Neurospora crassa OR74A: one gene and its partners. The protein of the gene in region 1 interacts with the protein of each later gene in a biochemical or structural test. Links are inferred from orthologs where the notes say so. Each region holds a gene or a part of one and is shown on either strand. Other genes may lie near its edges.

Region 1 (3,869 bases):
TGACCAGGGGGGACGAGGTCGCGTCGGGAAGGTCGACTTCGTCAATCAACGGAGCAGACGAGTGCGAGCCAAGCGAGCCAAGAGCGAACGATGGTTCCTGTCCAGGTTACGCCCGACTGCCCGGCAAGACGTTGCACCCTGGACTTGCCTTTAAAGCCAATGGGATTGGCTCGGCCCTGGTCTGCAGCAGCGGGTCCACCCACCCACTGCACTGCGAACCCACTGCAGAGAGTCTAGTGTCCACTGCGCTTCGTCGCCGTCCCAACGTCCCCCAGCATCCCGCCCGTTCCTCTTCCATCTCACAAGCGAACGGCACCGCGACGGCAGAGTGAGATCGCTGGGGAAACGAATGGCGAAGAGCCACAGCTCACTGGGCTTGTCCTAATCGGTGCAAAAAGCGGTGGAGCACCACAGGCATCGCCGGCGTCCAAATCTGGTGTAGTGTAGGTGGAAGGAGGAACCGACGCATGTGCCGGCCACTTCACGAACCCCCCCTGTCTCTTTCCTAGGCTTGTCTACACGACACTACACTACATAGTACACTACACTACGGCTTGGTTTTCCTCTTTGAGCCATCTCCTCGTCATTACATACACTACGACTACGGGTCTTGATGGTTGTTGTTCCATCAAGGTCAACTTTTGGTAGGAAGACTTCTAGCTTCACCAGTCTGACGATCTCTCGGCCAGAAGTTCATGTCCAGCTTTACATTATTGGTGATGTACAGACGCGTGGGCAAGGCGGTTCGATGGTCATATGTGTGTAGTTACATTTGTGCGACCATGAATGATATGTACCCGAAAGGCTTCGAGATCCGACACGAGGTGGAAATCCGCGCGGTGTAATATCCGGACCTGGTGGAGAGGATCGATGACTTTGTTCTCGAAAAGGTCATTCAAGGCATCGATCCCATCCGTCTGACTCGAAGGAGTTTTGCTCCATAGTATTTTATACTGGGTAGTCGTGGAATCATATACTATGTGCCTCATAGGGGTAATACTCGTTGAGAGGTCCGCGATCCCTTCCAGACTCGGAGCAGAGTGCATGTCAAACATATTCGCTTCGCGGGTGAACACTGTACACCAAAGACCCTTTTTTCGCTTCAGGAAACCTCGTTAGAAGCATGGGCCGGCGTTCCGCTTGTTCTGTTTGTGCTTTCTAATCACCTTCCACATCATCAGTCCGTCCCCTTGGAAACTTTTGTTCAATGTTCCAGGAAGATGTTCTTGACAAGTGCGATTGTAGGGATCTGAGTAGTCGTCTTAGTCGTCATTGCACATGTCAATCATGGTTGAACAAAAAGCAAATGAAAGGACACGGAGATGCAACAAGAGCCCGTGTTAGGACAAGGTCTTCCTATAGTAGCATTGGCACTAACATGTGCTAGCGGGGCGGTGTTTGGCCGACGCCCGCCTGACGGTGCTGTTCCAGCCCAGAGGGCATGGGTCTCGATGGCCTGGCCCAACAAGAAGCGGACGGCTGTGGTTGGCTTCGACACATCGCCATTCAGCCTCGAACAACAGCTTGATTCCATCGATACCTCATCGCATCGCCATTGCCGCCATCGATCGCGCGTCGTCTATCAAACCCCTCCCCCTAATCCATCGACAATCGTCGAGCCCGAACCACGACCGACACAGCGACGCGCTTCCTTGACCAAACCATCGCAACTTACAATCCATTAACCTAATCTAACGACGAACCCTACGATTCGGCAATTCCAGACCTCATTGCTCCCCACGCCATCACATCGGCTCTCTCTATCCCAACGCGAGACATCAACATCATCGTGTACAGTCAGGAACCATCAACAGCGATACTCGCCTGATTTGCGCCAAAGCTCTGAAACACGACCACAACAAAACCTCGGGGACGTTTCAAATACCGCTACCATGAAGCTCTACTACATTGGTGTAAGATACGGCTGCTTTCATAGGGGGTACAAGAAGGTACCTGCTGACCGCGAACAAGATCTACAAAAACACCGAGCAGCCTGCGGTGCAGCTCTGCGGTGCCCACGAGCTTAGCGACTTCTCCAGGTTCACACGAGACCAATACAAGAACTTCATGACCATGATCAGCAGGACTGTCGCAGAGAGGACGAAGCCTGGCCAGAGGCAAAGTGTTGAGGAGCAAGGTGCGTCTATGGTGAACTCTCTGCTCGCATACATGTGCCTAGCTGACTAGGTGGTGTCCGAACAGATTATATTATCCACGCCTATGCCCGCTCCGAGGGTGTTTGCGGTGTCGTCATCACCAAGGACTACCCTCCTATCGCCGCCCACAGTGTCCTTTCCAAGCTCATGGACCAGTTTCTCTCGGAGAAGCCGGTTGCCACGATAAACGCCGCCAAGAACGACGGCGACATCCCTTTCCCGGCCATCGAGCAGTACCTTCGCGACTACCAAGATGCCAACAACGCGAGCAGCATTGCAAAGATCCAGCAAGAGCTCGACGAGACCAAGATCGTCCTACACAAGGCAATTGATAGCGTATGTCCATTCACAGAGGGTAGCAATGCTCTATATAACATGCTAACCTAGTTTTAGGTTTTGCAACGAGGCGAGAAGCTCGACGACCTGGTTGCCAAGAGTTCCGACCTGAGTGCGCAGAGCAAGATGTTCTACCAGAGTGCGAAGAAGCAGAACTCGTGCTGCCTGGTTATGTAAAGATCGTTCATCAATACCAACCAACCACGCGCGACTGTCTTCGCTTTTAGTCAGCCGCACTGATATATGCCATCGACCGCAACGTTCCCCCTACCCAAATACAAAGAGCGACTGACCCCTCGTTGTCTTCGAGGCACTGGTGGGGGTCTCTTCTAATTCAGCTTTTGGTTTCCGCGCAGGTTGCAGTTTGGCTACTGACGACAGAGGGCCTTACAGTAGCCGCTTTGGATATGTGAAAGCCACTTACCTTGACGGCTTCGTGGGCTCTGAGAATGCTAAACTTCTAATTCAACCTGCAATATACCCTTTCTCATATTCATTGTTGTGTGGTACATACCCGAAACTGTGAAAGATTGACCACTGTTTGGCGCTAAAGCTGTGAAATACATACTTCGACTACCAGATGTAGGTAGTCCTGTTATAGATTTGTTATGTGTCGAACCCGAGGCTGCGCACTTATCTGAGAGATCTTCGCTCCGTTTCTTGCATACCCGTTAGTTTCATACGACATCCGCCCTCAAAGATTATGTGATGGGCCGACACAAGCGAAGCGGTCGGGTTCCCCAGTCACGACATTCGGTTGCAGTGATGACGACCTTGTCCGCCACGCCGTAGTGGCGTAAACTGTGCGAGTCGTAACTAATGTACACTATGGTATATTCTAGGGGTTGTTATCCCTCTCAAGCTAGCCCAGCCAAAAAGACTCTTTTGAAGATATGAATGGAAACGTTGAGATTCAAACTACAAGACTACGCAGCAGCATCAATTGAGCTGATCGATGATGGCGGCATTGCGTACGGATCTTCCTCCATGCCGATCTTATATCGGCTCCGTCGGCGTCTACTCATGTGCACTACAGACGTTGGATGCAAGCTGGGGTTCGAACAACATCATAGGAAACTGAGACTGTAAATGTGCGGGGTGGCAGAGGCGCTCCTACCTGATGTCGCGCCTTTGCTTCAAATGAATGGGGATTCGGCTTACGGCAAAGATCATATTAGAATTCATGGGATCATCATTGGGGGTCTTTGTAGGTGACTGACATGTCGAGAACATCTATAGTCAAGGTAGAGAATATGTCACAAGTGAGAACTGCTACATATACGGCGTAAAACTCATTGTATTGGGCTGGGCTTTATTTGACACCAATCGAACCCTAAACAAACCCATTGCCGGGACCCAGTTGACTGGGCAGAGATA
Region 2 (4,243 bases), on another chromosome or scaffold:
AGGAGCTCCTTGGCGGAAACCTGACGACCATAGAGCTTTGCATTGGCGTCTTTTCGCTCGATTATCATAGAACCTTCGAGAGACACGCCAGCAAACAAGCCCTTGGTCTTGGAATAACTGAAGATGCCCGCTACGCTTCTCAGCGAAGCGGCTCCGGCGGCCTCGGCATTTCTACCGACAGGCCCGGCCGCGACCGAAACGTTACCACCAAGTGTAAGTGACCCAGCTTGGGCGAAGGTTTTTACGGCGCTCGCGTCGTTGAGAATGAAAACGAAATCTGTAAGCTCGAAACCGATCTGACCGCCGAAGCCGGCACCACCCGTAGCAATGGCGGTGGGGGCAGACCAGCTGCCGTCGGGGAGGCGGGCGACTACCAGGCCGCTACCGAAACGGGCAGATCCGAGGAAACCAGCTTTGATGACGGTGAGTATAGCAAGACCCTAGGAGAACGTTAACCACCTGGTCGCTTTCGTTGAGGTTGCGGATGCTGTTTCGTACCTTGGCATTCGCGAGCACTGATGGCGGTATCACCTTGTCGGGACCAAAGGCTTGTTTGGGCTCGATGAAGGAGGCGAGGATTTTACCGCACTTCTTACATTCCGCTGGTTACAGACGTGTTAGGATGTCGGATTCGGCGAAGCGAAGGGGAGTTGCGGGGTCGGGCTCGCACAGCACGGGAACCCCGGGGACACAAACTCACACGAAAGTGACGACGGAAGAGGGTTGTTGATACCCATCTTGAAGTGTCGAAGCGGAACTCCCTATAGCGGACTGGCGCGGGTCTTGAAGGGCGAGGGCGTGTAGAGCGGCTGCGGTGAGAATGCCGTGGAAATGCGACAGCGACAGCGAAATATTAGAAAGAAAGAAAGAGATGGAGTTCGTCAGTCATTTCTCGGGACACTGGCCGATCAATGCCTGCAGGCACACTGGCAGGCAAGCAAGTAAGCAGATCAGCCCGGTCAATTTCTTGTGTACATAGTAAATGCGAGGTTGGTACCTGGGCGTCCCCACAACGGCGGTTTGTCAAGATGCTGGGGAGATCCTTGGGGTCACTTGTTGTTCGTGATGAACGATCTTGTTCCCGGAGGATAAGCCTTTGTGCGTGCTCTTTTGTTGGTGTAACTGTCCGTTTGAGAGTTTGTTTTTTTCCCTCTTCTTCACAGATCGGAGTAACTGATGAGCGAGGCTAAACAGTGGCATGGAATTCATCACAGTCAACATTTGAAATGGAAGTACTTGGAAATGGAAGCTGGAGCTCGTGCCGCGCGTCATGTGAGAACTGTAGCACTGGACCCTCAATCACTGGAGACGCTGGGATGGGCTTGGGCAAGCACTGCCGCCGTGGGCTGTGCAGTAGCGTACACTACTGTACCTCTACTTCTCTACTTTACTCCGTCCCTGCGCCCTGCACCTTCCACTTTGAATACCCGGGCCTTGTCCAGCGGGCAGAGCAGAGCGGGCGTTCGTCGTTACGTAGGTGACTGACTGACGGGACCCAAAGTTGCAGTGGCCCGACCACGAGCACAATCAAATGGCTCCAGCAGGCTCCGCTCCCCCCGAAAAAGACCCCGCATTGACCATGCATGTGCTTTACGCGCAGCCACACGTAAATGGCCGAAACTGACATCATTCGCGACTAGGAGGCCGTAGCTGTGGCTGGTGTATGCATCAACAAGCTGCAGTGAGCCGGCCGCCCCCATCATGATGGATGCATGATCCCGGTGTCCTTTCATTGTGACCCTGAACTGAGTGCATCTGGAACCTGCTACAACCTACCCCCTTTTGACATCCCCATAGCACTCAGCAATACCTAGGAACACCACGGCTTCACTCCGAACAACGGACGCTGCAAGACACCGAAGCCGACCCCCGCGCGCGCGACAAAATAACACGTAATAACATCTTCGATAATACGAAACTCGGGCCATATCAGCGAGTTCCAATTAACCCGATACTCAAAACTGACGAGTGAACCTCCCACACGGCCGCTGAGCGAGTCGCAACATACAACTACGACCACAACACAACCCCCCCCCATTACCATTATCAAGATGTCCGCAAACTACGAGCGCGAGCGCCAAAATAATGCGCGCCTCGACGAGCTAGCCTCCAAGGTTTCTGCCCTTCGAGGTGTAACGATTGACATTTACGACCAGGCGCGCAACCACGAAGTTATCGACCAAACGGTACGGTTCCTTTGATTTTACTCTGCACAAAATAACAAACTGACAAGTCCCACCAACAACGAACAGACCGATACCTTCTCCTCCATGGGCTCTCAACTCAAAGGTTCCGCCACCCGTCTAGGCCGCATGGCCGCATCGGGGAACAAGGTCGCCATTCTCAAGCTCTCGGGTATTCTTATTGGGAGCTTCCTGGTCATTTACTATCTTTATCGACTTTTTGTTGGTTAAATGATTCAAAAAGTCACGACGTGTGAGAGGGCTAAAGTCGTTTGAATATTGGGTCTATTGGGTCTATTGAACTTCGACATGCGAATACATGCCAGGAAGCAAAAGGAAGGGAGGTTCTCTTCATCGGGTTCACTACAACAACACAGGGCGAAGGATGTAGAGGGCGGCACGATTCGATTCCCGACAAATATCAGGAATGATAAGACGGATGCGTGCGAAGCCGGACATCAAGACAGGATGGAGCTTGTCCGGATAGCTTGTTGGATGTTGGAGTGCTGGTACAGGCGATGTGCAGTCCGCTTGCTCCCACAAAAGCCGCTACTAGTATTGCGCAGAGGAGGTGCAATGTAGGGTGGGGCAATGGGTGGGAGGGTAGCAGGTCACGCAGGACCGTAGGTCTGTGTTTTGGTGGATTCTGAACGAAGTGTGGATTTTGGTTTACAGACTGGGCTTAATGTTTTGTCTCGACAACAGACGGGTAGATGCAAAGGCATAGCAATGGCGTTGACGGTTCGGTTTTGTTTGTTTATTTGGGATTTGGTTTCTGCGTACCTTAGGTTGTCATTGATACGTCGTGTCGTATAAGCCAGACATCGACATTTCTCAGTCTCATCCTTGATTTTTCATTTTGAAACTTCAAGGACATCAGAAGGACATTAATGAGGGCAACACACACCTTACAAAAGATAGGAGGATCCTATATAAAAGTGCATTACTTTTGCCCTACCAACGAACAATAACTTGTTGTCTATAATGTAAATATGCCAAAACAAAACATGACTTGCTGATGTAAGAATGACTGCGTTGTTCATCATTCCCCTATTTGTCACGCATAAACCATCATTTGCCTAACTCTTAACTAGATCAGACTCCCACAGCATAAGTACGACATGGTGTTCGTGGATAGCATCCCCTTTCCAGTCAGGTGGTATAGAAGGAAAAACAAGTTCGGACGCTTGATGGGTTTGGTTTGGTTTGGTATAAGTTTGTCCGAGCTATTTCTCACATCACCTGCCGGTTGATTATATATTTACATGGTCGGCATCAGGCGCGAGGACAACAGCAAAAATCCCAGTAGACTGCACTCGGTTACCTCTGAACCCCATGTCGGAGATCCCTGAATTGTCGTTCTAAGGTTTCTTATTGCCAGACGTTTGAGAACAGGTCGTCACTGCCACCAAAACCGGTAGCCGGCTTGGATCCGCTCGGAGCAGCTGGTGTGGTAGTGCTGCTCATCCAGCCCCCAAACTCCTCATCGGCCGCCACCTTTGGTGCTGGGGCAAAGCCGCCCGAAGCGCTGGGGACAATAGGTTGGCTTGCGAAGGAGCCGCCGGTAGTGGAGGAGGTGGTGGTGCTGTTGCCCCATCCAAAATCGTTAGAAAGAGGGATAGAGGTAACAGGTGCTGGCTTGGGCGGTTCAGGAGCCGCAGGCTTGGGGGGCTCAGGGGCGGAGGCCCACTCGTTGGAACCCCATACACCTGCATCTGACCAGGCGTTAGACGTCGCAATAGAGGCAAGAGGGTTTGGTGTTGTTGAAGTAACGGCTGCAGGGGCCGGCGTGGTTGCGGCGGGCTTGGAAAGGTTGAATGCGGAGCTGAAGTCAGATGAAGGCTTCGGGGCGGCGGCCGAGGGAGGAGCGGTAGTAGCAGTAGCTGTTGTGGAAAAGTCAAACAGGTCACCGAGGGCGGAGGAAGCGGGCGCGGGCTTAGAGGCTGGCGCAGGAGGAGGGGTTGATGAGAAGCCCAGTGGGCTGCTGATGGACTGCTTGGATTGGTGGGAGGATGTGGCGGGCTTGGAATCGAAGAAGCTGCCACCGCTTAGGCCGGAAA
Region 3 (4,222 bases), on another chromosome or scaffold:
ATCTTTAAAAGGTTGCTCTTCACTTTGATATGTACAATGTGTGTTGAGAGTGTCATCGCTTGGCAAATCATACACTTCCTAGGTTGTGTTTTGAACGGCTTCAAATCTGGAACAAGTACATGAAAGTTGACTTGAACAGTGGCAATCACTACTCCTTAGTGAACATGCCCTTCCTGCTCTGAACTCCTCTATCCTGTGTACCCTCCAACCATCTCGATACTATGTGCTGTGATGAAAGCCAACCGGGTCCTCTCTTCAAAGCCGTTGCTGAATGGAAAACAAAAGTAACTTACCAGCCTCTCGCGAGAGGAAGCCATGGTCATATAGGCTATGGTAAAAGCAAGAATATATCTTCCAGTGGTTCTGAATAAGGTGTCTAGAACTGCAACGTGCGTCTTGCGGAGTAAGATCTCCGATGTCTTTGCAAATATAAGATGTGGGAAGCGATGTCCATGTTTCAGATGTTGAACGTTCATCATGCTGTGTCAACATTCACCAACGCCAGGCTGCTCACGCCCACCTCCTATAGCTCCTTATGGTCATATAGCTGGCCAATTGAAGCAAGCCATTAACGTGCCACGATTCCATAAACGTGCCCAGGCCTAAAGAAAACAAATCAATCCGGGTGGCATGGCGATCAAAGAAATGAGATGACAAGATACGTATCTAACACCACCACGCTACTTCCGAACTTAACTGACACTCAACGGTCGTCACTGCATCAAGTCACTTTTTCGTCTTGAACGAAACACGGCACAGCGACCGGTAGATCCGTTAACAACCTAGTAGACCCCCAAATTCCCTTGTATGTACGACAGAGTACACGAATCGGGTATTCCCTGGTGCTGAGACACCACACATTCTTTGGGTCGGAGACAATGAAAGGTCAAAGGTCATGTACACTTCAGTTGCCGTATACAGAGTCACAGCCTGTGTGGTTGTGATAGTGGGTGAGGTGACTTGTTCTTGTGATGCGGCTGGACCAGGATACTACACTGGAGGACAGTACCTATTGAGAGTGGAAAGATCCGACAGGAGATACTACCCGCTGTTCGGCAAAGACAAAGACTCAAAAGCTCTAGAAAGAAAGGGAATGAATGATTGCAACCCATCAATGGAAACACCAAGTAGGTACCTACAGTATCTTCTACTCTACGCGCCTTCGTCCCTAATTTGGGTCCCTGGCAAGCCTGGATGGAGGATGGCGTCGTCGTTGTGGTGATGACATCAAATCCAGTGGCACCCTAGGTCGGGTCCAGTCGCAAGGAGCATCCACAACCGCAGGTGCCACCTCAGCGCACGACCCACTTTTCCCCCAGACGCCCGGGCTCTGGAAGCTGCCTCGCTGCCCTGCCCGTGTATGTGTAATGGTGCGCTCTGTGATTCGGGTCTCAGTGGCCAGGGCGCGATTGCGAGGCAGTGGCAGCTTCGACGCCGCTCACCCATCATTCATGCCTCTGCCGCCGGTCCCTGTTCAACAGATTTGCTCGCATTGATTAACAACAACGAAGGGCAGCAGCACCGGGGGCAAGGCAGCGTGATCCATATTGTCTGTCCGTGAGGTGTCCGTCGTGCTTCCATCCATTTCGCAACCAAGCAGTGAGTGGAGTGAGCGGTGCTCCTCGGTACATAGCGCGGCCTCTCTGTGCTTGTTCCCGTCTTCCATCTCTTTGTGAAGACCGTGATTCCTTCCAGCCTCTCCGCTGTCCCGCTGCTTCACGCAACCCAACAATCCCTCCCAGAAACCCCAAAAAAAGAAAATCATTCAACACCGTGTCTCATTGCCCGTTCCCGCTCGACATCGTCCCCTTCCCTCCAATTTGTGTCGTCAGCCACCAGAGCACATAGGCTTCTTCACATTATCAGTGAACTCGCAATACTCCGAGCTCCGTTTGAGGCGTGCTTTGGCTCCAGCTGCTTTGTCTTTAATCATTTGTATCGTCGATCTCGCTTCGCCCTCGCGGCCCTCGCAAACGTCAAGAACAACCCCTGCGTCCACCGTCCACCTTGTTGTGGAGCGACCGATCCGACTCCCGACCACCGACCAGGGCACACCACCGACCGCCTGCCGGACCCAGAACGACAACACCGGGGCGCCCTCCGAGTCGACTTCCCCGGCATTCCACCACAACAATCATCGCCACCACCACTTTGCGGCATCATCCAAAAGCGCCCGGCCTCTCTGTTGTACATCGCGGTTGACGGCAGATCGCTTCGCGTCCCTCAGCAGCCATGGGCGCTTCCTGTTCCTCGTGCTGCGGAGGTATGTGACGCCCTGAATGCCTTTCTTCCCTTTCCGTTTATGTATATGTGATGCGTGCAGTAAAGCTAACAGGACCCGCCAGGCAAATCCCGCGACGGTTTGTATGATAACGTCCTCGCCGACAGCGAGCGGGAGGCTGTTGCCGACCTCCTCCAATATCTCGAAAATGTATGCGTACCGATATCTGCCCGCGTTATTACGGAAGCGCTAACCCTTGTGTAGCGCGGAGAGACCGACTTCTTCTCCGGAGAGCCCCTACGCGCCCTGAGCACTCTCGTCTACTCGGAGAACATTGATCTTCAACGGAGTGCAAGTCTGACGTTTGCTGAAATCACCGAGCGAGGTACGTAGCGTTGGAGACATTGTATCAGGACCCTTTGTCTTGGTCTTCGGGTTGCTAACTTTGTCTTGCTCATGCTAGATGTGCGGGCAGTTGACCGGGATACTCTTGAACCCATCCTCTTCCTTCTCCAAAACTCCGATATCGAGGTACAAAGGGCAGCCAGCGCGGCGCTGGGGAACCTTGCTGTAAACAGTAGGTGCTTTTCCCGAAGATGTCTATGTGCGGTAGAGATGACTAATAAGAGAACAGCCGACAACAAGGTCCTGATAGTCCAGCTCGGTGGTCTGGCCCCCCTTATCCGTCAAATGATGTCGCCCAACGTCGAAGTTCAGTGTAACGCTGTTGGGTGTATCACTAACTTGGCCACGCACGAGGACAACAAGGCCAAGATTGCACGTTCCGGGGCTCTAGGACCATTGACACGACTCGCCAAATCTAGGGACATGAGAGTTCAACGCAATGCTACTGGCGCTCTCCTAAACATGACACACTCTGGTAGGCTTGTACCGTGACGGACGTTGTCTAGACATTGCTAACACGTGATAGATGAAAATCGCCAACAACTGGTCAATGCAGGCGCGATCCCTGTGTTGGTTCAGTTACTGTCTTCCACCGATGTCGACGTCCAGTATTATTGCACTACTGCCCTCAGCAACATTGCCGTCGACGCCAATAACAGGCGGAAGCTTGCGCAGACCGAGCCTCGGCTTGTTCAGTCTCTTGTCAACTTGATGGACTCCTCTTCACCCAAGGTTCAATGCCAGGCCGCCTTGGCACTCCGGAATCTCGCCTCGGACGAAAAGTACCAGTTGGAAATCGTTCGCGCCAGCGGTCTCGGTCCTCTTCTCCGTCTTCTTCAGTCGTCTTATCTACCGCTCATTTTGTCGGCTGTTGCCTGCATTCGAAACATCTCAATCCACCCAATGAACGAGTCTCCCATCATCGAGGCAGGATTTTTGAAACCATTGGTTGACCTCTTAGGGTCGACCGATAACGAGGAGATCCAGTGTCATGCTATCTCAACCCTCAGAAACTTGGCAGCGAGCTCGGACAGGAACAAGGCGTTGGTGCTTGAGGCTGGCGCTGTACAGAAGTGCAAGCAGTTGGTGCTTGAGGTTCCAGTGACGGTACAGTCGGAGATGACGGCAGCCATTGCCGTTCTGGCGCTGAGTGATGAACTGAAGACAAATCTTTTGGAGCTCGGTGTGTTTGAGGTTTTGATTCCTCTTACCAAGTCACCTAGCATCGAGGTTCAAGGAAACAGTGCTGCGGCTCTGGGTAACCTGTCATCTAAAGGTCAGTGGAATGCTTGATGAACTGTTGTTTCTGGGCCTGACATGCTGACGAACGAACAGTGGGCGACTACAGTGTTTTCATTCACAACTGGAACGAGCCAAGCGATGGCATCCACGGCTACTTGAGCAGATTCCTCGCTAGCGGCGACGCCACTTTTCAACATATTGCGATCTGGACACTGCTGCAGCTCCTCGAATCTGAAGACAAGAAGCTTATTGGGCTGATTGGAAAATCGAACGACATTGTGGATATGATTAGACAGATTGCGAACCGCCAGATTGAGTCGGATAACGAACTGGAGGACGATGACGAGGGTGAAG

Evidence for each region.
Region 2: the proteins of NCU08973 (region 1) and NCU03889 form a complex in vitro, tested with the Saccharomyces cerevisiae proteins (2 studies listed by BioGRID). The link is inferred for Neurospora crassa OR74A from reciprocal best matches to the Saccharomyces cerevisiae genes YKT6 and SFT1.
Region 3: the proteins of NCU08973 (region 1) and NCU01470 form a complex in vitro, tested with the Saccharomyces cerevisiae proteins (2 studies listed by BioGRID). The link is inferred for Neurospora crassa OR74A from reciprocal best matches to the Saccharomyces cerevisiae genes YKT6 and VAC8.

What each region holds. Positions count from the first base shown.
Region 1 is NC_026503.1:4,097,265-4,101,133, reverse strand, and holds NCU08973 (SNARE protein Ykt6), read left to right. Parts: upstream 1-1,450; 5' UTR 1,451-1,892; coding exon 1,893-1,913; intron 1,914-1,971; coding exon 1,972-2,137; intron 2,138-2,202; coding exon 2,203-2,492; intron 2,493-2,549; coding exon 2,550-2,669; 3' UTR 2,670-3,124; downstream 3,125-3,869. Other genes in the region: NCU16686 (hypothetical protein), read left to right, coding at 1-332.
Region 2 is NC_026506.1:2,053,157-2,057,399, forward strand, and holds NCU03889 (SNARE), read left to right. Parts: upstream 1-1,443; 5' UTR 1,444-2,051; coding exon 2,052-2,186; intron 2,187-2,252; coding exon 2,253-2,414; 3' UTR 2,415-3,554; downstream 3,555-4,243. Other genes in the region: NCU03888 (DUF500 and SH3 domain-containing protein), read right to left, coding at 1-440, 499-602, 701-737; NCU03890 (stromal membrane-associated protein), read right to left, coding at 3,555-4,243. UniProt on the Saccharomyces cerevisiae protein: Vesicle SNARE required for retrograde transport within the Golgi complex.
Region 3 is NC_026505.1:4,631,927-4,636,148, forward strand, and holds the start of NCU01470 (vacuolar protein 8), read left to right. Parts: upstream 1-1,422; 5' UTR 1,423-2,232; coding exon 2,233-2,263; intron 2,264-2,345; coding exon 2,346-2,431; intron 2,432-2,485; coding exon 2,486-2,606; intron 2,607-2,684; coding exon 2,685-2,798; intron 2,799-2,855; coding exon 2,856-3,101; intron 3,102-3,152; coding exon 3,153-3,902; intron 3,903-3,961; coding exon 3,962-4,222. UniProt on the Saccharomyces cerevisiae protein: Functions in both vacuole inheritance and protein targeting from the cytoplasm to vacuole (cvt). Involved in the formation of nucleus-vacuole junctions (NVJs) during piecemeal microautophagy of the nucleus (PMN).